Tribolium castaneum: one gene and its partner. The protein of the gene in region 1 interacts with the protein of each later gene in a pairwise test. Links are inferred from orthologs where the notes say so. Each region holds a gene or a part of one and is shown on either strand. Other genes may lie near its edges. The genes, in order: protein BCCIP homolog and RpL23.

Region 1 (15,765 bases):
ATGTAAATATTTACCTACAGGTCTTATTATTTTGTATTTTACTGTAACCTAGTGCAATGTTTCATCAAATTGTTACGTAAAAATATACTTTACTAGAAACGTGCCGGGTGTTTTAATAAAAGTCCCTGCCTGCGACTACTTTTTATTTCAAAAATACCTTATATTAACGGAAACAACTATTTTCAACTCAATTATATTTTACACAATATATACAAATTTGTTAAGTAAAATTATCTTAGCTGAAGTTGTATTAACATTAAAACGTGTGATTGTAATGACAAAACTAAAATCAGAACGTAAGTTGTGGTATTACTGTATTATATAATAATACAAGAAATAAATTAATACAATTAATAAATAAGTTTCAACAATCGTCTAATACTAGAAGGTACAGTAAAAAAAGAAATACAAAAAACTATGCATATTAGTAGATATATCCAGTATATACAATCGAACCGGCTCTCACACCGTGGAATGAAAAATTTTACAACCGATCTTGTTGCTGCTTAACATAATAACTAGTCATAAATTAAAACCACGGGCCTAAATGAGCAGACTGGCTTGCTAAAACGAAAAAAATGTTTGGGGGAGCTGACATGTTAAAAAGTTAGTACGACTTTGTTATCACAGAAATAAAAAATTGAATCGGGAAGGACACTATAAAAATCGAATGGTGATCTACTCGTTCAGGCTGGTAGTCGGAAAATCCATATTAGCACCAACAGTCTATTAAAAATCTATCAGATCCTTGGGGAAAGTTTGCTCGCAAACGGAGCTACCCTGTACGATACCCTCGCGGGTATCTTAAGCCCATCACTACGTTTCACGACTTAAAACTACCGAAATAAATAGAGTCAAACAATATCACTAGAATGACTATTATCGTCCCGGTCTTTAAAAAAACCCTTCTCCGTCTTGCACTCCCGAATCGTGACAGTCTTCAAGTTCACCGTAACGTCAGTTATGAAAACCTGATCGGCGACGGGATTCCTCGCCAGCCAGTACTCCGAGCCCGGACTCGTCAACACCGGAAGTTCGTCAGTCATGTTATTATTATTGTGTCCGTTTACCGCCACTTTAACGTCCCCGCTCTTATCGCCCGCACTGCACTCTTTTTCCGGTTCCTCTTTACTCACTTCGGGTTTTTTCGGGGGCGGCGGCGGCGGTGGCGACGACACCGGGGGCTCGGTGGCGGGCCGTTTATCGTCGGTTCGCGACGCCACCGGTTTGGGAGACGCCGGCTCTTTAGTCGAGGAGTGAGGGAGGGTTGCGTCGACCGGACTTCGACTCTTATCGGTGGAAGTCCGGGGAGTTGTGGCGGTGAGAACTGCCGGACTTGACGCCGACGGTATTGCTGATGAGGCTTCCTCTTCGTTTTTCTGGCGGCCGTTGGCACGGTTTGTCGACGTTGCTTGCTGCTGCTGCTTGGTTGATGCCTTCTGCACCTGCTTATCCGAATTCTCAATTATGAAAATATTAGTATTTTCAGTGGTGGCTCGGTGGTTCAAAACTAGGTGAAGGGTTCATGCAAAATTCATGTTCCAGTGGATATTCAGTAACGCACAAAATGGGTCACGTAAAAAACAAATCCTCGAATAGGTCATTTTTTTGTAAACACTACACCAACATTAATCCAAAATTTATGACGCGAATGGTTTTTGAGTAATGACCTCATTTTTATTTTTCTATTTTTACGACGAAAAATTTATAAAATAAGACAAGAACAGAAAGATTCGTCTTGGAAAAACAGGCCGAAAAATAATCAAAATACGTTAAAATTTATTTCGTTAAAACCTTATTTTGAATGAAAATTTTTCAAAAAATATTCATATACTTCCACAAATTTCACTAAAAAAGGCAGAGAACAACTTAGTTCAAAATTATTATCATTTTTGCCTTTTTTCAAATGCTTACGCGCATTTAAAAAATACTTTTGTCACGAAATTTTGCTATGAAAGTTAATTGCGTTACTTTTCCCTTTTTCAAGTATGTCTTTCAGCCCAAATCATACTTATTTCGTATAAACTTCCCAGTTCAGGCCAAAAAATCACAAATGAAGGCGTAAGATTTGTCTTTTTTTGGCAAGAAACTTACTTATTGTAAAATTTTGTCAAAAAAGAGCGAAAATGACGTTCAGTTTCCTTAAAATTCGTCGAAAAATCATCAAATAATTATGAAATTTTGAGATAAAAATTCAATTATTTTGCATTACTTCCGTCTAGTACGCCAAAAAACTAAAAATACAAGAAGTCGCAAATGATGTTATCTTAATGTTTCGCTACATTTCATATAATAGTTCGTTTTATAAGTGCGAAAATAGCCTCAAAAATCCAAACAATACCTAAATAATTAGTTTAAAGTCAATATTTTTGCCTCTTACAAATGCTTAAACAAATTTTTAAATTAAAAATGCACTTTTCACGCAACACTTTGCAAATAATTACCTCTGAAGATCGAGAATAAATTACTTTTGTCTTTAACGAACTAGTTTTAGTAGTCTTTCAGCCAAAAACTCATTTAATAATAAATATAACTATGATAGAACACACCAAAAAAAATAACAGGAAGGTTGAAAATTTCATTATTTCAGCATTTTTCGTTAGATTTACCTTTTTTTTAAGCAAAATACTCACTAATTTTGCGAAATTTCGTCAAAAATAACTAAACAGTCAAATTAGGTGCCAAATTTCCAGTTGATTTCGCGATGACATTAGGGAGAAACTAATGTTTAGCGGAATTTTCCTCAAAAGGCTAAAAAATACGTAAATAATTAGTTTGCATTTGTAGGAATTAGAAGGAATGTTTGTAGATGGCATTATTTAACCTTTAGATAGGCTTATCTTGTTTTTGAGTAAGATACTCACTTATTTTGTGAAATTTCGTTAGAACAGGTCGAAAAATATGTTAGTATAGTTAATTACGTCAGTAATTACGAAAAATATATCTTAGTACGAAATTAAAATAAGGCTAAATTTAGATGGGAGTACCTACAGATTTTAGGTAGCGAGCCACTGATTTTTCACAAAAAAAAAACACAAAAATTAATTCCTACCTTATTTGGTGGGGGACTGGCGCTGGTGGGACTACTGGTGGTGATCGTAACTCCAATTTTTCCACTTTCTTTCGACAAAACTTCCGCTTTTCTCTTGGTCCCGATTTCCAATCGTGCCAAAATCGGTCTACGATCTTCGCTACTTGAACTGTTTGAATTTTCGTTATCGTCGACTCCTGTTGGCACTGGTGATTTTGACGATACTTCGGATTCGGCTCTTGTATCTTCATCGTCTGGATTTGGTGCTGATTCGGATTTTGTTTGTGGAGTTGATTTGCTGGTTTCGGCGCTTGTAACGCCATCATCTTGACTTTCTTCGCCGCTTGCACGTCCTTCGTCTTCCGTTTCCGTTTGCTGCTTTTCGGGGTGTCGGTCCTTCTTTTTCGGACCGCGCTTGTGGGGGTCGAGCTTTTGGCTACGTTCGAAGAGGTCGATCAGCCGCGAGTCGAGGATGTTTTCCTCCGGTTCCCATGTGTTGTGCTTTTGGCTCCAGCCTTTCCATTTCACGTAGTACTCGACGACACCCTGGAAAAATAATCGAAAAAATTGTGAATTAACTAAATAATTAAATAATCATTGATGATGAATCTTTTAGTCATAAACTTATAACTTAGTATTGTTCCGTTCCAATAGATTTCGATAACCCAAGATATTATCTTTGTTTTCTTTTCGGTTATTTCATTTGATTCATGTACTGTTAAAGTGAGTGATTCAATATAACAATGCTGACTTCCACCTCGCTGGTGATAGCAATTAATTACGGAGCATTCATACGAGTAATCGATCTGCTAAGTCATTCTCATTTTTATAATTCCATTGCGTAATTAACTAATTATGTACCGAAGAAATTTGATACATGTTGAGTGAGTTTGACCGTAAATTACTCAAATTACTTTTTTGGTTTCATTTGAAAAAAACAAATAAAATTAAAAATATTTCAACATATAATAAACAAAATGTAATAAAAAAGTCTTCTGAGCCAAGAAAAACATTTCTAGCCAAAAGAGCTCAAAATACTCTATATGATTTTATTATTAAATTATTATGTTTTAAGTTTCATCAAAGTAAAATTAATGAATCGTAAATTGTCATTTTTTATCTTTTTAAACCAGTTAAATTTTTATTATTTAATCTGAAGTAGGTAATGCTAAGATAAGATAATTAAAAAATGTGGCTACTTTTTATCGTAAAGTCTACATTAGGAAAAATATAAACAAAGTGATATTACAATACTTTAAAATTTTTGTATGAATATCAACGACATGATTAATTTTGCTTTGTTTTATGAATTATTTAGAGATTATTTCTGAAATTTCTTTAGATGCAACCAAAAATACTAATTACACTTACCACTGAATATGCGTTTGATTTTTAATAAATAATTTTTATATTTTTAATAATAAATAAAAGTAGTTCATAATGAAATTTTAGCAAAGACAAAGTTGCCAATGCAATCGTGGATTTATTTTGAAATTTCTAAGAAAAGTTGCTTTAAATTTGATGATTCATTACTGCAACTACGTGTAACAAGATGAGAAATTTGCATTTTCTTACGACGTACATGTTTTTACAACAGCAATTATAAATGCTAAGCAGTTAAAAAAACATAATACAAACAATTTAGAAAAATGTGAGTTTGTTCAAAAAACATCTAGTACATAAATACAAATTGCATAATGAGTTTCATAACTAAAAATATCACGCCACATGTCATATGTCCGTATTTTAACAATTTTTTTGATTACATACAATCTAATGGTTTCGAGTTGAAGTCAGAAGTGTTCTTTATTTAACCTTTTTTATGCAAATTATTCCATTCACGAATAATCTGGAATCAAAATCTATCTCTTTTTATGGCTTTGACATTAACATCCGGTAATTGTAAAAAATAATTAAATTAGGACGAAATGTTCTCTTGTATAGGGTGTTCCAAGTATTATGGCCGAGGCAAAAATAAATATCTCTAGTCGAGTAAAAAATTAAATAGTTTAAACGATAGGGAATTAATTGAGTTACCACTTGATTTTTTTATTGTTCAAAATTTTTAAGGTATTGCTGTGAGACATGTAACTCGTGTCTTTTACTGTTACATGATAAAAAGTTAAATGAAGTGAAGAAACACAAACAAGGTGTGAACAAAAAAAAGATTTTCCTTTTTTCATTTTGGTTACGAAATGCACTCAGTTGTTAAGCTTGATGCAGTTTTTTTTTGTTGGTAATATTTTAACCGTTCTTTTTGATATCTGAATCCTACATTATAAACACTATTTTAAAACACGTTTCCGATAGCAATTTTAAAACACTCTTCCCATAGCAACGTAAATTAATATGTTCCAACAAAAAAAATTGAATAACATTCATACGAAAACGCTTAAAGTTCTTGGGTGTCTAGCCCTCGAACTTTAAGTTTGTGTTTTCGCACTCGTATTATTAATAACTATAAATAATCTGTTTAGTTCAATAACAGTGAAAAATAATAAATAAAGCTTAATATTCAAAGTCAGTTTTTTTTTATTATTTTGGAGTAAATTTTTTTACACGACGTTTGAAGAATGCATTTCCGTTCTGTTGGTTTTTCAACATTTCTTATCTCAATGTTTACACAACTGAAACATTAAGTCATCGTCAGTTTAGACGACGTCTGTATTATTTTTTACCAAGCTTCACATTACTCCAAATTAGCACAACTCTATATCAAAGCCCCCAAGTTGATTAACCATTTTTCAAGAAATTAGTGAACATCTGCAGACATTTCGACCAGTTCATAAATTATAAATTACGACCTTGGATTACTTTATTGACTCCAAACCGTAATAATAAGCTTGTAAAGCTTTTATTGTCAGTCAATCGTCAAACCCGTTTCGTCTATTATACCATAACTTCCTCAACATGTGGCACTTGGCAACAATAATGACGACTTACAGCCCCAACCCCCATTTCTTGACAACTTTTATTGAAAAAAACCGAAAACGGCGTCCTAATTAACCCCACGACTTCCTCCCCGAAGCTCCTCAGCCGTGACTCACGTCTTAGACCGGAAGGGGTGACAGGAAACCCCAATTATGTAAGGAAATACCCCTTGAGTCACAAACCTTATCAACAAACCCATCGCAAACTGTCGATGGAAATTCGAGGTTAGCTCCGCCGGGAGCCCCCATTTCCCCCACCAAACAACCCGAAAAGGATAATCATTTTCAAGGATGAAAACTCACCCGACGGACTCGTTTTTTTATAATCCTTTCGGCGGCATAAACATGGTCACCAAGTTCCATTGTTATGGCTGATGGGGACGCATAAAAACTCCGAAAATTATTGCGCACCAGATACTCATCTAAGTGCACAACCACAAATCGAACTCAGCTTTTCTCAGCATTTTCCCGAGAAAAACAATACGGAGTTTTCCGCGAAATTCACAAATTGCGTCCACAACAACTCACTCACATCACATTGGCTTTGGGGAATTTGACGTGCCCGGTTGGATGCACTGTGCGCGCAGCGCAAAGATATTTTTGGCGAAATTAATTCATTTCGCGATTTACAAAAGGCAATCACACATAATCTTCAAGTAAATCACCAGAAGTTTGCACAAAAAGGACTTTGGGGATGTTCTTGCGGTTATCGCACTCGCTTTGCAGCACTTTCCACCCCTCTGGGATAATGGACTCGTCCAGCCGACCAAATTTTCAAAATATTCTTCCAACATTTCAAAAAAGTCGAATATTTTTAGTTAAATTTTTTTTCACGCGGGTTTTATCACATATACATGTTTAGTGTGTCTATAAGGTTACATAACAATTTTTTGTCCACAATAATGTTACTTGCTCATTGCCTATAATTATGATAATTTTTTGGTTCGTGAAAGAATGACAAAGTTGTTAGCAGTAATTTATGTTTAAAACTTTATCTTTTTCCCAGTATTGCCAATAACTGATTGTTTACTGAAAAAAAAATACATTTTTTGCGGCTTTCCCGGGATTTCCCAATTGTGAAGATTAAAAATGCAATTTTAAATCCTTAATAATTTAAATAATTATTCCAATAGCTATCAATTGATATTAAATTAAACTTCATCTTTTTTCAGATTTTATTTTGCCAAACTAGATTTTTGTACTGGTCCACTGTAATCCCTGACACTTGTTTGAGATTTGACAATTCCCTAACCTAGGAATACAAACCGGTTGGCTTGAGAGTTGAGTTTTTAGTGCAAATAAGTTCAAAACATGGCTGGGGCTTCGAAAAAGTCGCGAAAGGTCGCGAAACCCGCCTCTGATGAGGAATATCAAAGTGACGAGTCCGGGAGTTACCATGGCCAACAAGTGGGTACAGTTTTTGGGGTTATACTTATGACACGTGCTCTTGTAGGAAATCCAAGCGACTTTTGAAGGCCGAAACCCCGAAGGCCAAGATTTTCACGGCATTAAACAGTTACTGAATCAGTTATTTTTAACTGCACATGTTGATTTGGGCCAAATGAGTGACATGCTTATTTCTCAGGCTGGAATTGGATCTGTTTTGAAGCAAAGTTTTAACGATAGCGACGACGAGGAAGATATTGAGATGGTGGAGGAGTCTGATGTGTTTGGTATCACCAGTGTTATCAATCTAACGCAACACAAGGTGGTTGTGTTTATTTTGCAACCTGGGGATAATAGGGGGTTTTCAGGAGACACCATGTGTTCAACAACTGTACAAGTTAGTTGATGATGAGGTTACGAAACAGGCGGATCCTGAAGCTAAATCGTTATTTAAAGAAATTGTGGGAAACAATTCAAACAAAATTGGTTTTATTATCAATGAGCGGTTTGTTAACATACCATCAAAAATCTCCCTTCCTATGCTACACGCATTACAAGATGAAATACACAGAATGGGGAAGAAGAATGACGGCTATAAGTTTGATTACTATTTAATGATTTGTAAAAACTGGAAGTCCAAAAGCGACGGTAGTGAAATCGTCTTCTCAAATGATGAAGAAGAAATCTTCTGGAAGAAAGCTGACTGTAGGTTTGAATACAGTGTGGCCGGAAAAAGTGACACAGGACTGACGGGGAATTGGCAAAGTGAAGATAAAGAGTTGATTCCACACAGAGTAATCATTTTGTTTAAAGCGGACAAACTTCCAAGTATTATAAGCGAAATACAAAATTTTGTGTCAAACTAGGCTAAGAATAATTTTTTTTAAAAGCAAAGTGTATATTTTCTATAATGAAATACTATTACATGAAATACACACACTTAAATACTAACTAGGGTGCGACACAACGCCACATAGTACAGCTATGTTTTAGAGTAAGAAAAATAAACAAAGACAGTGAACACAAGTCAAATACAGTTGAATACAAAAAATAAGGGACAAAGTTCTAGAAAATTAACTAAACCGAGAAGGTTTGAATTGGTTTAGCACTCAACCACTGGTAAAAAATTAAACGAATCATAAACCTTTCAAGATAAAGATATGCTGAAACCTTCAACCGTATTCGCAGCTCAGAACGCAAATTTAAATAACTATTTTTCGTAAAAATCGTAGTACACTTTTCTTAGCTTATTAATTTGATCCCCAACTTCCCTGCTTTTCTTCAAAGCAATTAAATTAATTTAAAACAAAATTTTGCTTCGCCTTCTAGTATTTAGACTTAGTTTCACTTAAAATAAAAAAAATAAATGCCACTAATGATCAATAATGCTTAGGTGGAGGTTCAAAAATAAATTAATACTGATTAATGAGATCATTTTCCTTGACCAAATTGGGATGAAAAACGGTAAAAACAGCTAAATTTCTGACAACCGTATAGTTTTTCAAGCCAGCATCTAATTTATGTGTTTGTTCATCAACTGCTTTAAGTTCAAACGTGTCAAGATTAACACTGCTGTGTTTATTTGGTTGCGGCGATAAAACAATCCGACCATGAACAGGAAGTCGTAAAATTCATTATTCACCTTTAAATGTTGGAAAAGTAATATTTTTTTCCTTAAAATTATTTTCAAATAGTCTTTTTGAAATTAGCTACAATACAAACTTATGTTTTTTTAAAACACGCTCTTAAAAAAAACGTATTGCCCAAAAACTAAGATTCCCAGAAAAAAAACTTTTACCACTTTAAAGAAGAATGTTTAAAATTAAATAGAAACCAATTGTTTAACGCCAAGCAATTAGGAATTTAGAAAAACTATGAAGTTTTACAGGGTATTCTATTAAAAAAATTATTGTAGCTAATTTAGAAAACATCTTGTATGTTTAAGAATAATTTTAGGTGAGGCAGGGGTCAGTATCTAAAAAAAAATTCTTTTTTAACACATAATGTACTTTACCTACTTATATTCTTATAATTATTCTGTGACACTGCTTCAACTTGAATATTTTTTTCCAAAAAACAACATAATTCATTAAATCATTTAGAAAAACATAACATTGCAGTTTGTATCCTACTGGTTTACGTTAAATACTAGATTATTAAAAATTCAAAAAAATGTGTCTAATTGGCAATGCAAAAAACACCGTACCTACAATTAATGTAAAAATATAAACTGCTTGGGTTTGGTTACTTCGTAAACAAAAACCTCAGCCAGAAACGCCATTGTTGCGAACAAAAGACCCAAAAGTAGCCCATAAAACAAGAATAAAGTCATGTCTAGAGTCAAAGGTTTGACTGCGTCAGCGTCCGCAACACCTTCCGGTGACAAAAACCCCTCAAGTGTTGCATTATGAATGGACCTTTTAGCCCACAGTTCAATGAAACCACCTTCGCCCAACCTCCTCAATTTTTTATTCAATACGGGCAAAAGAGGAGAATTATAAATGACTTTGTACGATTGGTAATTCGGGATGATACTCTCTTTGACCAAATGGTACATTTGCGCCCCATTTCTCCTCAGATTTTTGCATCTAGAGACGAAAAGTGCGATATCGTGTTCGATTATAAATGCAGGGAGTTGTGAAACATCGGCTTTGTAAGTCATTTGGTCCATCAAGCCTTCATTACTGGCCAGAGGTAGTAATGCAAGAGTGAACTTTTCGTACTGCGTTCCGTTGTATTTCTTTTGGACTTCTTCGGCGTAGTTTGGGAGCGAGTAGAGTGGAAGTCCTGATTCAAACAATTGTTCGATGGTGTTTATGTCAGGGTGATTCAGTCTGATGGCCAGAAAGCTGGTTATTTTAGTTTGCAGGAACATGTTTACAACAAAACAGGACAATATCCACCCGAAAATTAACAAGCGTTCCAAACTGTGCCGTGGAAAGTGGATTACATGGTTTATTACCAAGACAGACCACACTTCGAAAAAGACGTCTTTGATGATAATACGTTGTTTGCATAATTTTCTAACAGTCACAACTAAGAGAAAAACAACTGGAATTTTATTAAAATTACACAACACTCCAGTAATATGTTGGACTTACTTAACGAAATTGTCACATTAAGGGCCCAAGTGGAGGGCTTGTAAATTGCCGCCATTAATTCACCCACCGGTATTTCCGAAGCTTTCGGAACCAAAATACTCAAGTCGTTCTGAGTGTGGGGATATAAATTCTCCACAATTTGGTCATCGACAGTAAACTGCTCCGATTTGATCAAAATCGAAATGTCCCGCTTCTCCAAAATTTTGATTTTTCGACTTGCCCTATCAGGCCAATTGATTGCCTCAAACCAGGGATTTATAAACGCATTGTCCATCGTTTCAATTTGCAGTTTCCCGTTTAAGTGTGCCACAATTGTGGCAATTGCGTTATAATCCTTTCCCTCAAAATCCACTTTTCCGCTCCTCCTCACTTTTTTTATTTTCGTCCTGTCATGGAAAGTAAATAAACAATTAATTGTGCTCCCGTGCAGATCTCTCGTCTTGTCGTAGAAGAAAGGCAAAGGCGAGTTAGTCAAGTTAACAATTTTGTCGAATGTAGGCAAAAATGGATTGTGGGTCATCACTTCAATTTTTCCGTCCGATTCGTACACCACGATGACGTTGAAACACTTTATTTTTGCATACGAGTTTAGAAGATACGTTATAAAAATCGGAAGGGGTTTTCGAGTGAGAATTAGGACAATCTTGGCTCGTGAAACTCTCACTCTTTTGAAAATATCATTGGCGTACGAGAGATCACCCTCCGGGTCGGTCAGGACGAACTTAAAATGATTTGGATTGAGCTGGAAACAAGCTTGCAACTTTGGCCGAATTTAAATGAATTTGACTCACTAATGGCTTAATATTTCGGTTAATGCCGAAATTAATTATAATGACGCTTGCAAGATCGTTCAGTTTTTTGATAGCAAAGTCGCTAAAGTCGGGCTCGACTTCGTTAATGGCGATGTAGAGGAAGCCGTCTTTTTCATGGCTGTTTTCCATGATTATGCGAACCATGAACTCCTTCATAACGTTTGAGAGTAGGTAAGGTTCGATTTCGAGTAATTTTGAATTGGTGCATGAACTGATTTCAAAGTACTGTACCAAAAATATAAAGGAATAAAGGCGCATTTTGTTTGCTTTTTTAGAAGGGAGTGATAGAAAAATCGTCTTTTCGCCTTTTTATAAGGCAATTGTAATTGTAATTTGACTAAGTCCAGCGAGATATTATTACAAGTCATAAAATAAAATGAGTAGAGCAAATCATTTCGGGTAAAGAACAACTTCATTAAATAAACATATTGATGCAATATTAGGTAAATCGCTTGTGGGCTAAGTGCAATAAAAATAAGAATATTAAATCAATGATTCTCAAGAATATGGTAAAGAATATCAAACATAATACAAACATAAAAAAATGGGAAAATATAATTAAAAATAAGGGTTAGGGCAAATAATAAATAATAATATTTTTGGCTATCAACAAATTTTACAATAAAAAAAACGTAAGATGTTTTGACATAAACATGTCATCATCAGCTACAACAAATTGTCAAATACTAAGGTCCAATAAGTAACTATTTTAGGACAATTAACTCAAACTCACTTTCTTAGGGAAAGAATAGAATAAATTGTTTATTCAACTCATTTTTCAGCCAGGAATAATGCAATCTGACACCAGTGGCGTATTTTGGCTGCCCCTGGCTATGACAACATTAAAAAAAATATTGATTAAGTCAAAAAATAAGGATAAATTTACAAACCTCGAAAAAAGACATTTTTGTACTTTGGAAATTTGTAGCATTTTCAAAATTTTAAATGCTACTTACCACTCCTTTTTTGACACCTCAAATGAACTGCTAAACTGCATAAACTGCTCGAAAAATGTTAGGTGTGTTTGAACATACACTGTTCCATAACAGTTAAAGAAATCTAATTATTCTAACATCAAACAAATTGTATCAGTTACCGAGTTTTGAATAAATAAATATCTTTTTATCAGTTGGCTTTCTCTATAAACTTTTTCAGTCAGATTAATTGAATGAAATAGCAATTCCCGTTCTAGCACAAGTTCTTTAAGAATGCAGGATAGTTTTGAAAATTAAATTACAAAACCTGGAAAAGTTCTTTGTGATGTGACCAAACATGCGCTAGATTTTTAAATATCTCTTATAAGATATCTATTAAAAAGTGACTCTGTATTTCAAGAAACTTAGCCATTTTTACGCTTTTTTCTATATCTATAATATTACGTTGTCTCTGACTTTTTTCAAAGACATTACTCATTTCGAATTTTCTTTAATATGAATTGAAACTACTAAAAATTTCTCAAAACTTATTAATCAAACAATTAAGAACTTAAGAAGTAAAAAAATAAGACGAAAACTAAAAATCTGATCAATTTATTTAAAAAAATGCAACTCATCGATTTACTTGCTGTTTTGTTAGCCAAAATAAAGATACTTTTGCCGCCTCCGAAATAATAAAAATTTGTACACAATATCACGTTCGTTAAAATGGAATGAATGTTTTACAAGCGAAAGAGTCCAAAGATACATAAAAGTATTTGCTAGATAATTATGGCAAACTTGACAAATATTTTCTTAATATTGTAGATAACAAAAAACGAAAAAAAATAATAATATGCAGAAAACTCCAGGTAATTCCATTAGATAACAGGAAACTGTCTTACTTTGTTGTTGACAAGAGCTAATTCGCTAATTTAAATTTATAATATTTATCTGCCACCCACGAAGATGACTCCTGCAAAGTGTAAAAGTGGGCCAAACACCTATCATTAAATCTCTTTAAGACACGACACATCAAAATAGCCGCACTCGTATGTAAATCAGGCTCCTTATTATGCACACCACTTTCTTCATCTAACAGTACCTTTTTCTGGTGGTACTTTAAAAATACTAATTAAGAAAGCAATTTTGACCATCGCAATCCCTAAATAAACCCCCTGTTTCCAGTCCACCCATCGCTGATCCCCCAGTTTCCCCCATTTTCCAAACCATTTGTCACACTCCCCGATAATGACTAGAAAATGGTGAAATGAAATTTTACTTTCCTCGTACTTTCTTGCCGACAAATCAATACTTATTTCTAGCGGCATTTTTCGCGACGACACTTCAAATTCTTCCTGCCACAAGAGTTGTGCTTCACCATGTCGTATATCACCACAGTGGGATTTATTTCAATTTCGATTTGTAAGTGCATTACTTGTTACTTCAATTTAATTAAAAAAAAATAGGTGTGACTTGGTGCCAAGTGACCCTCCCGAACCAGCCCATCAAAGATGCCCTCTACCTCCACAACGCCACTTCCTCGAATCTGACCCTAAGGGACTGCTCGTTCCGCCCAACTGACCAACGGCAGCGCTGCCCCGACCCCGACGTTAGGTTTATTTTGTACAGCGGGGGCGAAAGCGAGGTGGTTGACTACACAAAAAGCGATTTTTTGCGGCAGAGCAGGTGGGACCACACCAAGGAGGACATGATCCTGGTCCATGGGTACGCGGGCGGCGATGGTACCCTGCCCATGGCCGTCCTCCGCGACGCGTACATCAACCATGGTTCTTACAACGTCTGGGTGGTGGACTGGGGCAAGTTGGGCCCTCCACCCTGCTACAGGGCCGCCGTTCACAACATGAAAGCGGTGGCGCGGTGCATTGGCGACCTGTTGATGGCCCTAAGGGCCATGGGACTGCAAACCGATAAAATGACCTGTGTTGGGCACTCGTTAGGCGCCCACATCTGCGGCTTGATTTCGCGCTACGTTCTGTTCCGAATCCACAGAATCATAGGGCTAGACCCTGCCAGGCCCTTAGTACCGAACTCCTCACGGCTGGAAAGTGGGAGTGCAGCCGCTGTCCACGTTCTCCACACAAATGCAGGGCATTATGGTGAATCGGGGAAAAGCGGCCACGTGGATTTTTGTATTAACGGCGGAAGGGTACAACCTTATTGCGAAAACTCTGGACGTACGTTAATAATTTAGAACGCGTTATTTAACGATATTTATTTATGGTTTCTAGTCGATGAACAGTTGTGTAGCCACGTCTGGGCTGTGTGTTACTTGGCGGAAAGTATCCACAAGGATTTTGTTAAAAGGGCAGAGCCCTGCTCCAGACGGTGTCCCACGGGGCCAAGGCCGGGCCACCGCATTGGGATCCCGATAGAAATGGGACAATTTACGCCTTTGTCGTAAGTTTTTGGCAATTTTGGATACTTGTAGCTACTTAGGGGGTTTCAGGGCGAGTGGTTCGTATTGTCTTCATGATAATTATCCTCCGTACTGTCCGACGCAAGCTGGAGGTGTTGGGGATAAAAGATGTTGCTTGAAGTCGCCACAAATCAAACCACCCACAACTACGGAAGTTGAAGGTTGGTCGTAACAGATTTGTTGATTTTTATTTTCTCTTGTTTTTAGGAATCCCTCCATTCGCCAAAAAATCGCCCTAATAAGGGATATACTGTACCTGTATTTATTTGATCGTAACTGTATTTATGTTTATTTATTTGTGTTGTTGAATGCAAAATAAAACTGTGTTTTTGTGACTGTTCTTTTATTTTTATTTGTTTAAAGATGCTAACAACTATGCAATTAAAAATAATTCAGTAAAATACAAAATAGAAATTGTGATTCAAATCTTTATTATCAATTTATCAGTTATTGTTATTAGTTGTACCTAAAAAGAATGTAAGACAGCCTCAAAAACTGCAATAAAAAAATCTAGATCTAACTTCTGTTACTATATTATTACGGACAGATCGTGCGATGTTTTACCAAAGTACCAAAATATTGTATTAAAAATGTGATAAATTGAGAAAACTAGAAACCTAAAATCACGTATACAATTCTACCTTAGGATTTGAAGTGTTAGATAACAAAAAAACGAAAAATCCATTTTTAGAAAAAAAAACACCGGTATAATCCATTATGTTGCAAAGGTAATCTGTGGCAATGAACACCACTTAAAAATTTCTTTTAATTTAAATAAAAAAATAACACTGTGTACTCTTCAGTCTGGTTACATTACTCCGTGAAAATAAAACAGATTTTTAAATGTGTATTATTTATACCAAAATAAAATGTAAGTTCTTTCAAACAAAGTATAAAATAATTTGGATTCAATTCGATTAATTCGACACGAGAAACTGCGAAATTATTCCAATACAAAAAATACAACATATGTATAGAATAAAAATAAAATAAAAATAAAATACAATATACAAAAAATATATATTTTCTTCTTCGCTTTGTTCTACATTCGTCTTTGCTTTTCTCCTTTTAGTGAATCTTTTTATAATACCAAGCTTAAAATAGTAATTTTATGAAAAATCTTGACATTTTCGAATAAAATATTTAATTTA
Region 2 (16,056 bases), on another chromosome or scaffold:
TTGTACCAATCGTGGTTTAAATATGTATGTGATGCAATGTCAAGGCTCTAGCGCTTGATTAAATTATTACAAGAAAATGGCTCTGAGCGGTTCATTGCTCAGTAAAAGTAGTTCTCAGGAAAGATCAGATCTTGTGGCCTTCTGGAGTGTTCCACTACTTGATGGTATACACACTGTTGAATTTGAACATGGGGGAACAACCGGGAAACGGGTCATCAGAGTGGACGGCAAGGTACAAAACCGAAAAAAATATAGTTTTTTTGTACAGTCACAATTGTAAAAAATGACACCAACTCGGCTGCGGCTATAAATAATACAATTGTTTAATTAGGTGGAGAAAAAATTGTTTTTTTTATTGTTGCGGTCTGATTTAGTTTCTGGTCCGATTTATGTTATTTTTTAAGCTTGTGACTGTACATTTTAGGAGATATTGCGGCGCGACTGGATGTTTAAACTTGTGGGCGATGAAAAATTTACTTTGGGAAAACAAGGCGCTAAATGCGAACTGCATGTCGATCCTTTGCCACATTTCGCATTTGCGTACAGTCTGTACGTTGATGGAAAACCTTTGGAAAAATTTACAGAGAAACAGTCACAGACAACGCGATCGTGGGCGGTTGTGACAGAAGGGAAACGCTACCGTGTTGTTTTTGGTTAGTTGCTTGATTTTTGTAATTTATTGACTTATAAAAAATGTTTCAGAGAAACAAACTTTGAATGTGTGGGTTAACGGACAGTATGTTGAAACTGAGAGTGTTTTTATTGACGGTGGGAGCGAAATGACGTTTGAATTTGAGGATTTGAAGGCTGCGATACGGGCGACTTCGACTGATCGCAAGCAGGGGGTTATTCACCAGCTTTACGTCAATGGGAAATTAATTGAAGAAGATATTTACTGATAATGTGATTTGTTTTGTAAATAAATAAAAAAAGATTATTCCGGTACCGGGAATCGAACCCGAGCCTCCTGGGTGAGAGCCAGGTATCCTAGCCACTAGACCATACCGGACTTATTTAATTGTGAATTACCCTTATATTTAAACGTAGTAATATGAAATTAAATTTTGAATAAGAAATTGATTGCATTTCCCATTGATTTTATCTCATATCAAATAAATTAAATGTCTGGTCCAAAACTTGTGCAAGAAACTATCAACTGTCGCGGAATTAATGAAATAATTGACGCTTTGTCAATTACATCCTACATGGCGCCACTAACAACACCGCGCGGAATTTAAAATAAAAAACATTTAATCGGTTTTATGGCACTTTATTAAAAACATTAGACTACAAAATTTGTTAATACACAATTTTCCAACGTGTCGGTTGCGGACACTCTGTATTTTCCTTACAGAAACAATTAAAAGTTGTGTCTGGGGGGAACCCCAGAATTTCTCTCTCCTCTTGAATGCGAAACGAAAACGTGCTTTCATACGTCCCTATAAAATATCTAGCGTGTGAACAAATAATTTGATCAATTATTGCCACTCCTCCGTCTTTGATTTTTTCCCTAGTTTCACTGTCTGGTGTATATCTTTGTGTTTTAAAAGGTATGTTTTTTATAATATCTCTGTACTCTGCGTTAATTTTAATTAGGTAAAAATTATTTGGTTGAAAACAATTAATTACCGTCCTCGTCTGCATCCGTGGCGATAAAAACCTGCGATAAGTTCAATTTCTCAAGTAAATTGGTGATTTGTTGCGTTATACTATTGATTGAAGGGACTTGATGAGCCCGCCCTCGCAAAAAATCCCTACGTCTTAAATGCACCCCTAAATAGGGCCCCCCTTTTGTGCTCCGTTTGGGCTAAAAATCCAAATAAATAACGAAAAAAAATGGAAACAAATTACTTTCTCATCCTCCCAGTTTTCAGGTAAAAACTCATCGCTCGAATTTAAATATTTTTGGCGAAAATCGAGCGCAATTTTTTGCAAATCTTTATTAAATCTCATACTACGCCTACACTGCCAGTAAGTTCGGTCTCCGAACATGTCATGTAACGCAACTTCTGCATGATCCAACAAAATTGTTCTTCAAAAATGATGAAAAAAATATTTTTTTCAGTCAATATAATTATTTCTTACTTGGCGGACGATTTGAGCAATAGTTGCGACAATTTAGTCGCAGGTCCATGATACGACAAACACTTAACATTGTTTGAAGTAACATTTTTATAGAAGAAATAATTTATTTGGTATTTTTGGGCGCACTGTTCAATTTGCATCCTGTCTTTGAAATTGCCAGTCTCAAACATGTCTTTAAAGTGCTGCAAAACGTAAACCTCGTCTATTTTAACGCCATACGTCTGATTTATGGCTAAAAATTAATTTGTAACAAATAAAAAAAATGATTACTAACGCACCATCAAAAAATTCGTACATTTCGATAACCGGCGCAAATCGTTTCAAACTCTCTAAATCAAAAAATCGCCCCCACGGTATGTGTTCCGGTTCCGCATTGTACTTCCAATGGAACAAACGTGACCATGGGGGCAAAACCAACTTAAAATTGTTCAATTCGTCCTTTTTTGATTGTTTTAATTTGTATGCCAGAATGGCAAAGCGCATGTAGACGTCTCGACGCAAATTGAAGCCTTCAGGCGGGTTCACGTCATACAGTAAATACCTAGAATGGGGTTACAGGGGGCTGCAAGACACCGGGACCCTCACCTGTCTTTTGAGCCATAATTTGGGCCACAGTCTGAGTCAATGTGACAATAATCCTGGCTGCAGTTGCAAAATGCGAAAAAAACGAGCAAAATAAACTCAAATAAACAATTTTGTGTCGACATTCTTTGAGGTTATGTCCGATATGAGTTTGTCAACTTATTTTTAAATATCGAGAAAGATCAGCAAAATTATGAATTATTGCGCCAAGTGTTCTTAATAATTGATAACAAAATGTATTTGTTTTAATTTAAATGTTAAAAAAAATAATAAAAAATGTGTATTCTGAGTTGGCAACAAAAAATCAATGATCATGTGACCCAATTTTTCAAAAAAAACACCAAATTTTTAAAGTAACCATTATTTATTAAACCAAATAAGACTCAGTCACAATTTTATTACATTGTTACGTAGGTTGGAGTTGTCATGACTCCGCAATTGTTGTCTTTGGACGACATTAGGATGTAGCCATCGTTGCCCCAATAATTCGACCAACTGTTTTTAACCAACCAGTAATTTTCACCATTTATGGTTCCATACCCAACTGCCAGAACGGCATGATCTAATTCGTCAATTTTATTACCACTGAAAAATTTTTTTCTTGAAAATATAACAATGGATAAATTAAAAATTACCATTTGGGTTCGTAATAAACCCCATTGGAGTAAAAACTGAAAGTGCGTTGACTAGCATCAATGGCCACACTAATAGGCCCATGTTTGAACAAAGCCAACCTCAAGGCATTTTCATCATTTGTTGTAACGTTAACATAACCGGTGATTTTGGCAACTTTTTGCACCTTATCTGCATGACAGTAACCGTCCTGTTAAAAAAATGCTCAGTGACCTTGAAAATTAAGTTGGCAAGACTCAATGACTCACTTGTCCCAAATAGGGGCCATAGGCCTCCTCAGTGGGGATACCACCATGTTTGAGCATCCATTGATATGCCCTGAAATCCTCACCCCCATCACAACCGTTATTTCCATACCCCCAAGAACAATCAACTAGAGCTTGTTGAGACAACCGGAAAAGTCGGCCCCCATTGTGCAAAAAAAGTGCCCCCTCGACTGTACCCACAGTTCCGAAACTCCAACACGAACCACAAACCGATTGATCTACGATTTAAAATACAAAACTGGAACTCACTTAATCAAAAAATACCTTTAACAGGTGTTACGGCCCCCAACAGCCTCCAGTCCCACTGATCGGGCAAATCCTCCTTATTTATGTTTTCATACGGGAAGGGGGCCCCACCGTTGTAGCCCCCCGAATAAGTGCGCCCTCGCAACGCCTTCAATTCGGTTGGGGTTTTATCAGCCAAGTGATTCACAGTCAGGGTGAACCCCCTATTTTGTCTGTTCATCGAATGGATAAATCGGACGTTTTGGCGGAAAATATCTTTACGCATGAGAGTTTCGGTTTTATTTTGGTAATTTTTGCCATGTTTTCGCGTAAATTTGCCAAATTCGAAATCAACATGGCCACTTTTTTCAGGTCTGATGAATTCAGCCATTGGGTTAAAAGTGTAAATGTGTTTGTCGCCAGGGCCCGGGAAGGCACTACATTTCATGTCTAAAAATTAATTTCGGTCAATTTAGTTTCAACAAGTAGCCATTGATTTCGAGGCAACAGTGTGTTGCAAAAATCACAGGCTACTCTGATTTAAACTATAAGGTTGGATAAGTACTTGAGTCAAATTTGAAGATGTCGTCCGGGATGGGGTCTGAGCTGAAGGAGTCATAATCGAGGTAGTAGTGGTCATAGTGACTCCCCAAAAGTGAATTAAAGCCCCTCATTTCGTATTTGACCGGAACGGCGATTTTTACTCCGGTGTTGTCCGGGTCGTCTTTGTAATACAGCCACATGGCGTATTTGTTGACTTTTTGGCCGATTGTTTGAGACAGGGCCCATTTTTCGGTTAGGACTCCGCTAATTGTCTCCTCTCCAGTACATTCAAAACCTGTGAGGTCAGGGAGAATGGATTGGGGCTCAATTGTGTTTTCTTCAGTTCCGTTGACTTGGAGACAGGTTCGGGAGTTGGTTTCGGTCTCTGTTGTCACAGGGGCTATTTTAAGGCTGCTGCCGTATGGCCCCTCTGTGGAGAGTTGGTAGGTTTTCACCATATCGCCGTAGTAGTCAATACGGGAGCGTTTCGATTGGCCATCGTACCTTGATTATTTATTTAAGAATATTTTTTACTAGTTTACTATTTTTTTTTTATTTGAAAGCCAAAAAGCAAAACAAAATGTTCTCAAAGTAGTGACAATTTGTGATTAGGTTTTCTTTTCAAATTAAAACCTATTTTTCTAGTTATAATAATTTATATATTAGGTTTTAAATTTATGTTTAATCGCTGACTTTTATATAACAGTTCAACTTCACTTTTCCACAAAAGTGAATAACAGTGCAACATAATTTCCTTGTTATTACCTAATTTATCCAGAGATGGAAAATTACAACTGTATTAGAGACAATTATCAAATTTATATGATTGAATACAGTAATTTCAATTGTTCATTTATGAGTCGACAAATTTGTTTGATACAGATCACAGGATGTAAGATTTTGAGATAGTTAATTGTCAAAGAGAAAACAATATTAATTAGCTTATCACAAAAATAACAATACAATAAGTGGTTTATTAAATCTAAGTTGTTTGTTAATGAATTTATCAACAACGTGACTATCAGTTTAAGATTACTTAAACTTCCTAAAAATGCGGAATGAGTTTATAATGAAAGAATGCCAAATTTTATTACCACAATAAGTTGAATACAATTTTTTGTTCTAGTTGGAAATTTGTAATACAATAGATAACATTGTATCGGTGATTTTTGTATTTTTTAATTCATACAAAACAACAATGCCTTCTGCGTAGTTGAAAGAAATTAAAAAAATATTGCGTAAGACAAAAACAAAATAACATTGTCCAAATTATTATTTAATTTTTTTCATCACTATTATTTTGCAAAGGAAAAGTTTATTGAGGGTTAAACACCTAAACTTCGAATAAATTAGTCATCTTGAACAGTACTGAAGTTCGGGCAACTGAGTTTATGAATTTTTAGGAAACTTACCAGGCGTAGAAAGGTTCCTCAATTTCAGCATAAGGGATGTAAAGAATGCCCTTGACCGTGTATGTGTTGCTCCAAGCCGGCGCTTTGTTGGAACAGTCCCCATAGACTACCAAAAAATGTACTGATAGTTTAAAAATTTGTTACTTACCTAGTGCCAAAAAACACGAAAAAATCACACTTTTAAATAACATTCTCATTTGGCGTCAAATCTCCAAATAAACAAATAGCCGATAAGAGGCCTCCTTTTAAAAACAACCCCCACGACCTATGAACTCAGCTGATAAGTGGCAGAAAGTTTCGATTGGAGTGAAGCGATTCGACAAAGAGGGGATGTGCAAATATGGACAAAACTGCTTACTGATTCGTCAATACGATTTCATCAGCGTTTTTAATTGATTTCAATCAGGAATAGGAGGCTCAAAAATTGTTTTAAGATCAGATCAATATTGGAAATGGATATTTTATGACGATTACAAGTCACTGAACTTTGCATTGTTGATGAATTTGCCGTTTTCATAACTGCTGTTTCAATGCCTGACAAAGCAGTAAACTGGCCCACATCTAATTTTAGAACCTAATCGTTTTTTTTTTAGTTTAGTTAGTTATACTAATTTTTAATTTTACTATTAAGTTTCACTTTTGTACTTAAGCATTGTTACTTTTACTGCTTCACAAATTTTGATTGCAATCATTTTCAGAGTAAAAGTGAGTTTATTTGGTTTAGCTGAATTATTTGCCTCACTACGTTTGGTAAAAATCAATGTTCAACTTAGCCGTAATTAACATAATTTGCTATTATCGCTTTAGTTATTTAAGGTTACTGAAAGTCGGTGTGGTAAAGACCGTTCTTTATTTTTTTACACTTTTTATAATAAAGGAAACATACAATCAGGCGATACTGCTCGCATTTGAGGCGATCCTGGGCCACAAGTCTGCACATTCCTTCGCCACAGGTCCTGTGATAGCCGACCCCTTCATTTCTCCTTTATTGTTCACAATGACCCCCGCATTGTCTTCAAAGTATATAAACACCCCATCCTTCCTTCTGAAGGGCTTCCGTTGCCTGATCACAACCGCAGGCATGACTTTCTTACGAAGTTCCGGTTTGCCCTTTTTCACAGTCGCTACGATCATATCGCCGGAACCAGCAGCCGGAAGACGGTTCAACCGACCGCCGATACCTTGCACAGCGATTACATACAAGTTTTTTGCTCCTAAAATCTAATTTTGTAAAACTGCAAACGAAAAAACCAAAACCCACCTGTGTTGTCAGCACAATTGATGACTGCACCGACGGGCAAACCCAGGGAAATCCTGAATTTGGCTCCCGCGGAACCACCACGTCCTGAAAATCAACGAAAACATGTTACCGCAAACATAACCTAAAAACGAAATAGCGCAATTTTAAGGACCATCCCCGAAAATATCTACACTAATTCATGCCGATTTTCACAGGGATTGCAACAAATAAAGTTTAAGGATACAAAAGTGAGGGATTATTGGTGATTTTTGCGGTTTTTTGGAGATTATTCGAGCACTCACCTCTCTTAGACATTTTGGATTTGGAAAAGAGCGGTTTATGCAACCGAGAACGCACGTCGATTGTTTGACATTTATTTAAATTTTGGCGGTAATGTCAAGCATTTTCCAAAAAAATAATGTTTGGTGATAATTGTGGCGACGATATTCAAAGTATTAACCCAATAGTGTGAGTTAGTGGTAACGCCCCCATAGACGTTGTTTTAGATATTGAAGAAGATGTGTGCCGTCAAACTTCGGACACTGAAGGCGAAATGTTGCCTTTGGATCAAATTGAGGATAATAACGTTAATATCACTGATTTGGACACATTATCCGTGTCTGATTTTCTAAATGATTTGGACTCCCAAAGTTCGCACAACACTTCACCAGTCAATGTTGATTCAGACGAAATTGACGAAGACATCGAGAGCCAAAATAAAAGGGTTTGTAGAAACGTAATTTCGGGACGTAAAACAATTCGCATGATTTAAGGAAATTGCATTAGCTGCAGTTTTGGAAAACTTGCACATATCCTGTAAGTTCAAATTTGTGGTAACTTCAGCGCCATTCGGTTGGCAGAGTTAATTGTAATAACTGTCAGTTTTTCGTGTTTATGTGCGTTTATTTAGTTAACAAAAAAGGTTTATTTCAAGTATAAACGTAGATTAGTTAGTATGGTTTTAGTCGATCGTATCCAAATAGAATTAGGGGGTAACTCACTATGTTTGTTACATAATTGTGACATAACCTCAAACTTTAGCCCAGGAGCCTTGGCCCAAAGACGTCAAACTCTTCCAACCCTACGAAATCGAGCAAATTCTATTGCCCGACAATGCCAACTGTTTGGCAGTGCAAGCTTTCCTCAAAATGTGCAATTTGGAGTTTCAAGTGGAGCCACGAGCAAATGCCGAAGCCATGTCCCCCTCAGGCAAAGTCCCCTTCATCAAAGCTGGGGCCTTTGTCGTATCTGAACTCGAACCGATCGTACAGTTTGTTAACAATAAGGGAATCACCCTAACTGATAAACTTGACCCCGAAATGAAATCTGACATGAGGGCCTACATGAGTTTGGTCCACAACGTTATGGAAGTTGCAGAAGTGAGTATTATTTTATTATTTTACGTTTCAAAATAACGTTCGCATAGTTGTACATTTGTTGGTGTGACAAAGAGACTTATAATGAAGTCACTAGTGTGCGATATGGGTCCATTTATCCATGGCCTTTAAACCATATTCAAAATAGGGTTAAGAGGGCACAAGTCATAAAAAAATTGAAGGTTTTGGGGTGGTATCAAAAAACAATGTCGGAGGTGTTCCAAGAGGTGGAGAATTGTTGTCAGGCTCTCACTGACAGGCTTGAGGACAAAGATTTTTTCTTTGGTGACAAGTATGCACACCTTTAATGAAGGAAGTTTTCCTTCACTTGGTTGATCGCATTGAAAATAAAAGGCCTATTGTTATTTCCATTGATACTTTGCTGAATGTGGTTTAAACCGATATAGCTTAATAATGTAAAAAGACTTAAATCACTTGGAAATAAAATTGAGATTTATTTTGGCGATATTTTTTTGCTTGTTTTATCCTTGCACTTGAGTGCATGTGAAAAGTTTCCAAATTGAATTATGGGTCTTATCACTTAAATAAGAAGCGAGTAACTAGGTGAAGGAAAATTTTCTTTATTGGGATAATAATTGTGTTTTAAAGGGTGGGATTTTAGACCAACAGAGCTTGATGCTTTAGTGTTTGGTCACCTTTTTACCATTTTGACGACTCCCTTGCCAAACAGCCACATTGCAAACATCGTCAGAAATTATCCAATTCTTATAAATTTAATCCAAAGGATTGAAAGGGACTACTTTAAACGAGAGACGAAACACTAGTCGTGTAAATAAAAGACAACAGTTTATTACTTTTATATTTATTTCCTGTTAAATTGAGATAAATGTAGATTAAAGCACCTTTCAGTTAATAATTGTTCGCTTTTTTCTAAGTTAAGCTAAAGGAGATCAAGAACCAGGGCAGCATTACAAATTTATGTACAAAAAATAACATGGTAATGCTGCTGTGATTCAAGATCGGAAAATACAAACAAGCAACGGCTTGGTTTGTATAAATTATTGAGATTGAGTTCAAATCGGGTGTTTCCCCCCGATTGAACATTGTATAAATAATCCCTCCACCGTCCCCTGTTATCATGACTATTATCTTAACCTATCGGAACTTGAGGTAAATTACTAGAGAAACAGACTGAGGCAAGTAATAATAAGTAATAATGGCAGTTGAAGATTTCATCTTGAACACCATTCGAAAAAAGACGGACGTTTAAAACTATATGAGCACTGAGCCTTTGAATGGCACACCTAAGCTAATTTTCGTTCGATAGAGTGATGGCAGTTAGTTATCGCTGACTTTAACTACTATGACTATAGGCAGTGTTGGTGTAAGGACCGCTGTAGATCGAACTGCCAGGGTTTGAGGAAGTCTTCTTCGAGCGTCTTCTCGCCAAAAGGCAGAGGATTGCAGCGATGACGCAAAGCATCAAAATCAGACCCGCTATACAAATTCCGATAGCGAAGCTGCGTTGCGAGATGCAGATGCTGTCCTCAGGTGTCTGCAAAAATTCAAATTTTGCCTTTCAATAGTCACAGTGAAAGTTCAAACAATGAGTAGTTTTTCAAGTGGAGATACGCATGACATTCACTTTTCATTATTTCTTATTAACACAGGAGATGAGATTTATCTTTCGTTTCCGTCAAATGATTGTCCAGGAAGTTGAACACATGATTTCGGAGGAAAATAATGAATAAACCGTTTGATCTCATTGACCGATTCGGCCGAAATTGCGCGACTTTTTTCCTCGTTAAATCTCACCGAAGGTCATTAAATTAAAATGACTCACGGTCGGAAGAAGCAAAAAACCACCGTTGTTTAGTGACTGCAACAGCGATCGGTTCGCTATTGTTGTTGTTTCATTGTACGAAAAAGGCGACAGACCGTTGTTTATTTTTTGATTGCAACCAAAATTGGCAATGCCTCCTGAGGCGATGTTCGTTCGAAGAAGATGTGGTAGGTAACTCACCTTCTCGCTAAAGACGGAATCCTCCTCCAAGCCGGCTTTGGCGAGGTCGTTAGCCTCATTGACATAAAGGCCGCTGTATACTTCGATAGTGGCAGGAGTCCCTTCGGTGGGGTCCGCTGCTTGTCTGCGCAACCTGTTCCCTCCGCAACTTGGTGGCTGAAAAAAAACACAAAAATCTAAATTCAGGAATTTTTTTAGTTGTGGATTTAAAATGGGAGTGGATCAACAGTTAATTGAAGTAATTCGTTGAATTCTAAAATTTACATACATTGCCTTGTAGGCGATAACATAGTATACTGTTAACAACTGACGTACTACAACTGTTGAATAATTTTTAATTAATTAAAATTTTTTTCTATTTTTTTTCCTGCTCGTATTTTAGATTTTATAAATCTGGCTCTAAATGTGTTTATTTGATAAACACTTCCACTGATACTGTTCATAAAAACTGAAGATAAAATCTGAAAATTTGTGCAAGATAATTCAAATGTATCTATCAACGGAAATAAGCAAATTCATTAGTCTATTAGTTGGCGATTACTAAGCCACGACAATTAACGCGTTCGTCGTATCTTAACACCAGCAAAAATATAAATATTATTAAATTGATAATTAATTTCCACGGAAGAGAATAATTTAGTTAAACATAACTTAGAGAGTATATCAGAAGTTTGTAAGAAATAGGGAATTAAACAGTAGGAAATGATTAAATAACTCACTTGTTGTTTTTAACAGTTTTCAATTTATTACAAATCTGTCCACTGAAAATTAACCGTTATTTGCAAAAACGCCAATTTTAACACGATGTGGCCCAAGTGTCATTTGAGGACACGCTGTGGATGCAATGGACCCTGACGCCCTCCCATTTAACCTTGGGTGCAGCGGCCATACACCTACAACCTGAACCTGATGGTTCTTCTCAAAGCGAACTTGGCTAACCTCAGTCAAGAGAGCTAACGGTAACGGATCTAAAATCTTTTGATTTGGTGTTTTTTTCAATTCGGATTTTGTGATCATGTGCTGAGAGAATTCCCAGCTGTGAAAAGCAATTAAAAGGAAATCAACGTATTCTTTCGGCAGGTCACGAATATCATTTACAGATGGACGTAACTGTTGTGGTTTATCTATCGAAAATACTAATCATAAAATCAATTTATGCAATAACTGCCAATTTTGGTTTCCTCTAAGTGGATTTCGTAAATAGTAGAACTTTCGTTTTTTGAGAGAAAATTAAAATTCAATATGCTCATGTTTCGTAAGATTATAATAATGCAAATAAACACATTTGGTTGCTTTTATAGTTAATATCTTCCTACACGACTAAAATAATTTCTCGTCTGGCTTTATTGGTTTTATCCTTAACAGGTTTAGTGACAGCCTCCATGTCTACGAATTTGTAGGATTTAGTGTTGAATATTAAGTCTTGATGATACATAATTATTTATTTATTCTAAAATAAAATTTCAACTCGTTTTTTCAGAAATTCTAAGACTTTGAGCAAGTCGTAGAGCATAACATCAAATTAACTCTTTAATCTAGGTTTTGCTTCTTTTAAGAGACAAACACAAAGAGAAAAGTTGTGGAGCAACTTGAAAAGTCTGCATTTTTAATTAATTGGTAATTGGTTATTTACGAGTATCCTCTCACTTTTTATTCAGTAAAATTGTTTTTTTGTACAAAAAAGACACTTTCTATTAAAAAACACACTTGTCCTGTTCCTTTTTATTGCAAAATAAATAAGTCAAGGCTACTTACGGAAATATCGCACCCTCCATCAGCCTTCAGACACAACTTGACGTTGCATTGGTAGTAAACCGAGGCGGTATATGGGAACTTGTGCGCCTGAAACTGCACCGAAGCTTTCGTCTTGTCCTCCGAATACTGAAACTTGCCCATAATTTCAGCATCCAAAGGACAGCCTTCGTCATTAATCAGTTTCTGTTCGCCCCAGCCTAGCCCATCTCTGACCAAACAATCCGTAACACGTATTCCGTACGTGTCTTGCTCGTCCAAAGTAATGACAAGTGTTAAAGGGTCACCGATTTTCACGTTCTCGGCAACTTCCTTGTACGAAGGGTCTCCTGAAAAGATTTTCATGCTGCAGCCCGGCATGGGGGCCAGTGCTGTGATTGGATCTGCAGCCATCAAACTGAAAGAAAAATCAGTTTTCTTTACGGACTTTCTTGAGATTGTAATAATGTTAAAACGTGTGAAAAAAAAAACAGGGAACAAAGGAAGTGGCAGTTGAAAGTAAAGGAAAACTGTCATAAATTATCATAATATGTATTGGTTGGCTGCAGCTACAAACATTCAAACTCTTATCTCCGGTCGGAGATTTTGCATACAGCATGGGCGTAAAGGTCATAAAATCGAGTCCGCGTATTTCCATATCCACACTATCTGTTTTGTTTTTTATCACTGAATTTATTACCCACCGTTGTTACAATTAAGCCAAGAATTCGCATAAAATATCATTTATTAAACATCGTCTCACTTTGCAGCAATTTCAGCTCATCCGGTATTAAACTAAGTATGTGAACTTCAAATCATCAATCGAAAACTGTTTATACAATTATTTTAATTAGAGACAACATTATGCAAATCATGAACATTGAACTGATTTCCGAGCAATCATCAAGGCTGTGTGTTTCATTTTGTCAGATTTTTCATTGACTTGTAAAAATAAACAATATTTTCACAGGTTGTTGACAGACAGAATAAACTATTTTGTAATAATATTTGCTGAAAGTACTGCTTACTTTACCGTCCTTATATAGGCATAAAATGGGTAGAAACTCAGTTGGTCAGACTCACAGCTGCTTTTCTGAATTATTCAATCAATGCTTAATTGAATAATTTATAATTAATTGTTATAATAATTAATAATTATTGGGTTTTGTTAAAATTGGTTTCCAGAAATGTTTTAACGCAAAAATTGTAAATAGTTTAACAAAACCAGAAAGAAAAACTTGATTTTTGGTCTAAAAACGTATTTTAATCCTTCGGTGATTCTTCATCGAGTTTTGGGGTAATTTTTTTAAAAAGAAACATAGTTTTTACCTCAACAAGACTCGAAGAAGGCTAAAATACTACTGTTTTTAATGAAATTTTGCGAAATAGATATAGATAACATAATTTTGGATTTAATTGATCTATTAGAGTGAAATTTCGGAAAAAAACAGTCAAGATTTTAGCTTTAAAACGTGCTTAAATTCTCAAAGTCTAGAAATAACATTACTTTTGACCAAAATTTATTGTTTGTTGTAAAAAGTTCTTGTAAAGTAAAAAAAAGCGTTTTTTGGAAACAAAACGAACTAAGTATTTAATTATTTCGACAAAATACCTCGATTTTTGGCTTTTAATCGTAATCTAATCGTACAGAATTAGTCAAAAATGAAGATAAGCACACATAACACAATTTATTTGAAAAACGAGTCAACGTTATAAATAAATTATCGAAGACGCAATTTTCGTAATTCACATGATACTAGGCGTTTTATTACGAAAGGTAAAGCAGTAAACCAAAAATAAAAAATTTCCTAATGAACTAAGTGAAACGTTAAAGGTTTTTAAATGTTGCAATTATACTTAAGAAACGAAATTATTAAAAGAGTTACTTCATGTTCGTAGTCTATGATGATGCAAATTCTTTAACTTATAAAAATGAGAGATGCGAAAATTTATGCGAAAAGGATGAGGAAATTCTTTGCAGAAAAATGGTTGTACATTTACTACTCGAAACGAGATTCCAGTGATTCCACGCTTCATGAAAAATACTTACTCAACCTTGAGGGAATCATTCGTGATGGTGTTATTCCTGGTGTTGTAGCGACACCGGATATGGAAACCTCTCCCTTGGTTGGTGACCAGCTTGAGATGGGGTTGCACAACGATGGTATTAAAATATTCAATACCACCATCATCCTGCAATTAAAATAAGATGATATAATGATCACAAAAAGACTGAATGATGTCATGCAACAAACAACCTCAAGGTAACTTAACCCATGCAATCATCTTTCCAGTACTGTTATTAATTAAATATTGTCATTATGGGCAGGTGAACGCACTGCCAAAAAAGCCTCTCATTTATTACTGTCCCTAGAGAAAGTGACTAATGATCACAGCAGAAACCAAACGGGACTTAAAACTGGAAAAAATTAAGAAGCAGTGCTCCTACGTGTCCAACCCACAATTAAAAAACGAATTTGTGTTTTTGTGAAGGTCGTCGTGGGCTTTGCAAAGGTCAAGAAAACCCACGATTTTGTCAAAATTTTCACGTTTTGTGTGCATTTGCAAAATTAGAAAGTACTGCTCTATTACAAATGGATTTAGTGACTGTATAATTGTGACGTAATCATAATTGTCCTTTAATAACCGCTATTGAGCCCCAACTTCACGGTTTGAGTTGGCACCTCTTAATTAAATGCCAGACTAACCCGGACTTTGTGACGTATTATTTAGTCCCACATGACTCCATTCCAACTAAGGACGTGACCACACCTTTACCAAGATAACCAAGTCAAGTAGCATTGTTATCCCTTAACTCGTTTTTTAGACACTTTCACTTGTGATATAATTTTGGCGGTGGTAACCTTTAAAAGCCGAGACCGGTTCGTCTTCTCGCGATTTTTCGCCTTGTTCCAATCAAATTTCTGTTTGCGTTTGTGTGATAATTTGCATAACTTTCTCTGCGGTTTAACTTTTTCCCAATTATATAAGAAAGAACCATATGTTGTTTATTATGATTAAGTGCGATTGATTGTAATGTAGCAGCTGTTACCATAAAACTTCAAGGTTCTGGCCTCTTTACTACGAGACATATAAGTCCACGCAATAACATTTGGTACATCATGTTACGTGTGAACACCTACTGCGAAGTTTTTGATTTTTTTATTAATTCATGTCGTTTCCAGCAACGGTTCAGTAAGAAGTTCCATCTCGTTGAGGTGCGGAACCGATGAATTAGTTTTTTAGCACGTTGACAATAATTGATGGAGCACTTGACCGAGTCCGATCGAGTTTTCAATCAATTTGGAATTTCTTGTATCAACTTTTTTTCTATTTGCTGAAACTGGCAAAATGTGTAATTTGTGCGTTTACGAATCCTGTTGACGGTGCCAATTAAGTTGTATAGGATATAAAATTCTAGGTTACGTAAATGTGCAAAATTTCAGTTCATTCGGACAATAGGAACACTTTCAATTTTGGCTCGAAAAACGAAGTAAATTAACCAAAACAACATAAAATTCAAGCAAATTTTGTGATTTTTCAGCCAGTTTTAGCGAAAAAACTTAACCATACGAAAAAAAAATTACAATTGATTTCGGCCTAATTTAGTGGCTGTAAAATTATTATTATTATTTAGTCACAAGAAAGTAAGAATTCTTACCTGTTATAGAAAAATATAGAAACCGCATTTTAAAGTTTTAAGTTTAAAATTTTTTGGCTCATTTTTGAATAAATTTCTTTAAAAACGCGCCACTGTTCGTAACATTATAGTCGAAAAAGTTGTTTTGACTTGAAAAACTATGTATTTTGGACAGCTCACAGGCAATTCCTAACGACTCTCAACTTCTGCTTACGGAATTATTATTATTAACCACTTAAATTCCGCAATTTACTCGATTTGAAGTTAAAGTCAAAGTTCACACTTTTAATTTTCTAATCGCTGGCCTCGGGAGGCTCTCCTGTTAGATTCGTGTCAACA

Evidence for each region.
Region 2: the proteins of protein BCCIP homolog (region 1) and RpL23 interact in binary tests that used the Homo sapiens proteins (3 or more experiments, as listed by UniProt). The link is inferred for Tribolium castaneum from reciprocal best matches to the Homo sapiens genes BCCIP and RPL23.

The regions. Positions count from the first base shown.
Region 1 is NC_087395.1:14,249,483-14,265,247, reverse strand, and holds protein BCCIP homolog, read left to right. Parts: upstream 1-7,182; 5' UTR 7,183-7,272; coding exon 7,273-7,368; intron 7,369-7,414; coding exon 7,415-7,669; intron 7,670-7,715; coding exon 7,716-8,213; 3' UTR 8,214-8,241; downstream 8,242-15,765. Other genes in the region: polycomb group protein Pc, read right to left, coding at 855-1,460, 3,053-3,577, 6,265-6,324; uncharacterized protein LOC107398622, read right to left, coding at 9,560-10,398, 10,449-10,968; uncharacterized protein LOC663058, read left to right, coding at 13,557-13,599, 13,644-14,372, 14,427-14,595, 14,645-14,775, 14,822-14,835. UniProt on the Homo sapiens protein: During interphase, required for microtubule organizing and anchoring activities. During mitosis, required for the organization and stabilization of the spindle pole.
Region 2 is NC_087396.1:24,468,238-24,484,293, reverse strand, and holds RpL23 (large ribosomal subunit protein uL14), read right to left. Parts: upstream 7,405-16,056; 5' UTR 7,302-7,404; coding exon 7,289-7,301; intron 7,092-7,288; coding exon 7,008-7,091; intron 6,961-7,007; coding exon 6,635-6,960; 3' UTR 6,580-6,634; downstream 1-6,579. Other genes in the region: fas apoptotic inhibitory molecule 1, read left to right, coding at 77-232, 425-653, 703-899; O-fut2 (GDP-fucose protein O-fucosyltransferase 2), read right to left, coding at 1,300-1,577, 1,630-1,807, 1,852-2,032, 2,086-2,317, 2,364-2,626, 2,671-2,792; CtsK1 (cathepsin L precursor), read right to left, coding at 3,066-3,252, 3,303-3,490, 3,549-3,784, 3,831-4,241, 4,357-4,838, 5,747-5,852, 5,895-5,943; metaxin-2, read left to right, coding at 7,405-7,438, 7,481-7,710, 7,760-7,802, 8,028-8,365, 8,413-8,654, 8,985-9,147; pio (cuticlin-4), read right to left, coding at 9,678-9,878, 10,347-10,502, 12,102-12,495, 14,128-14,270.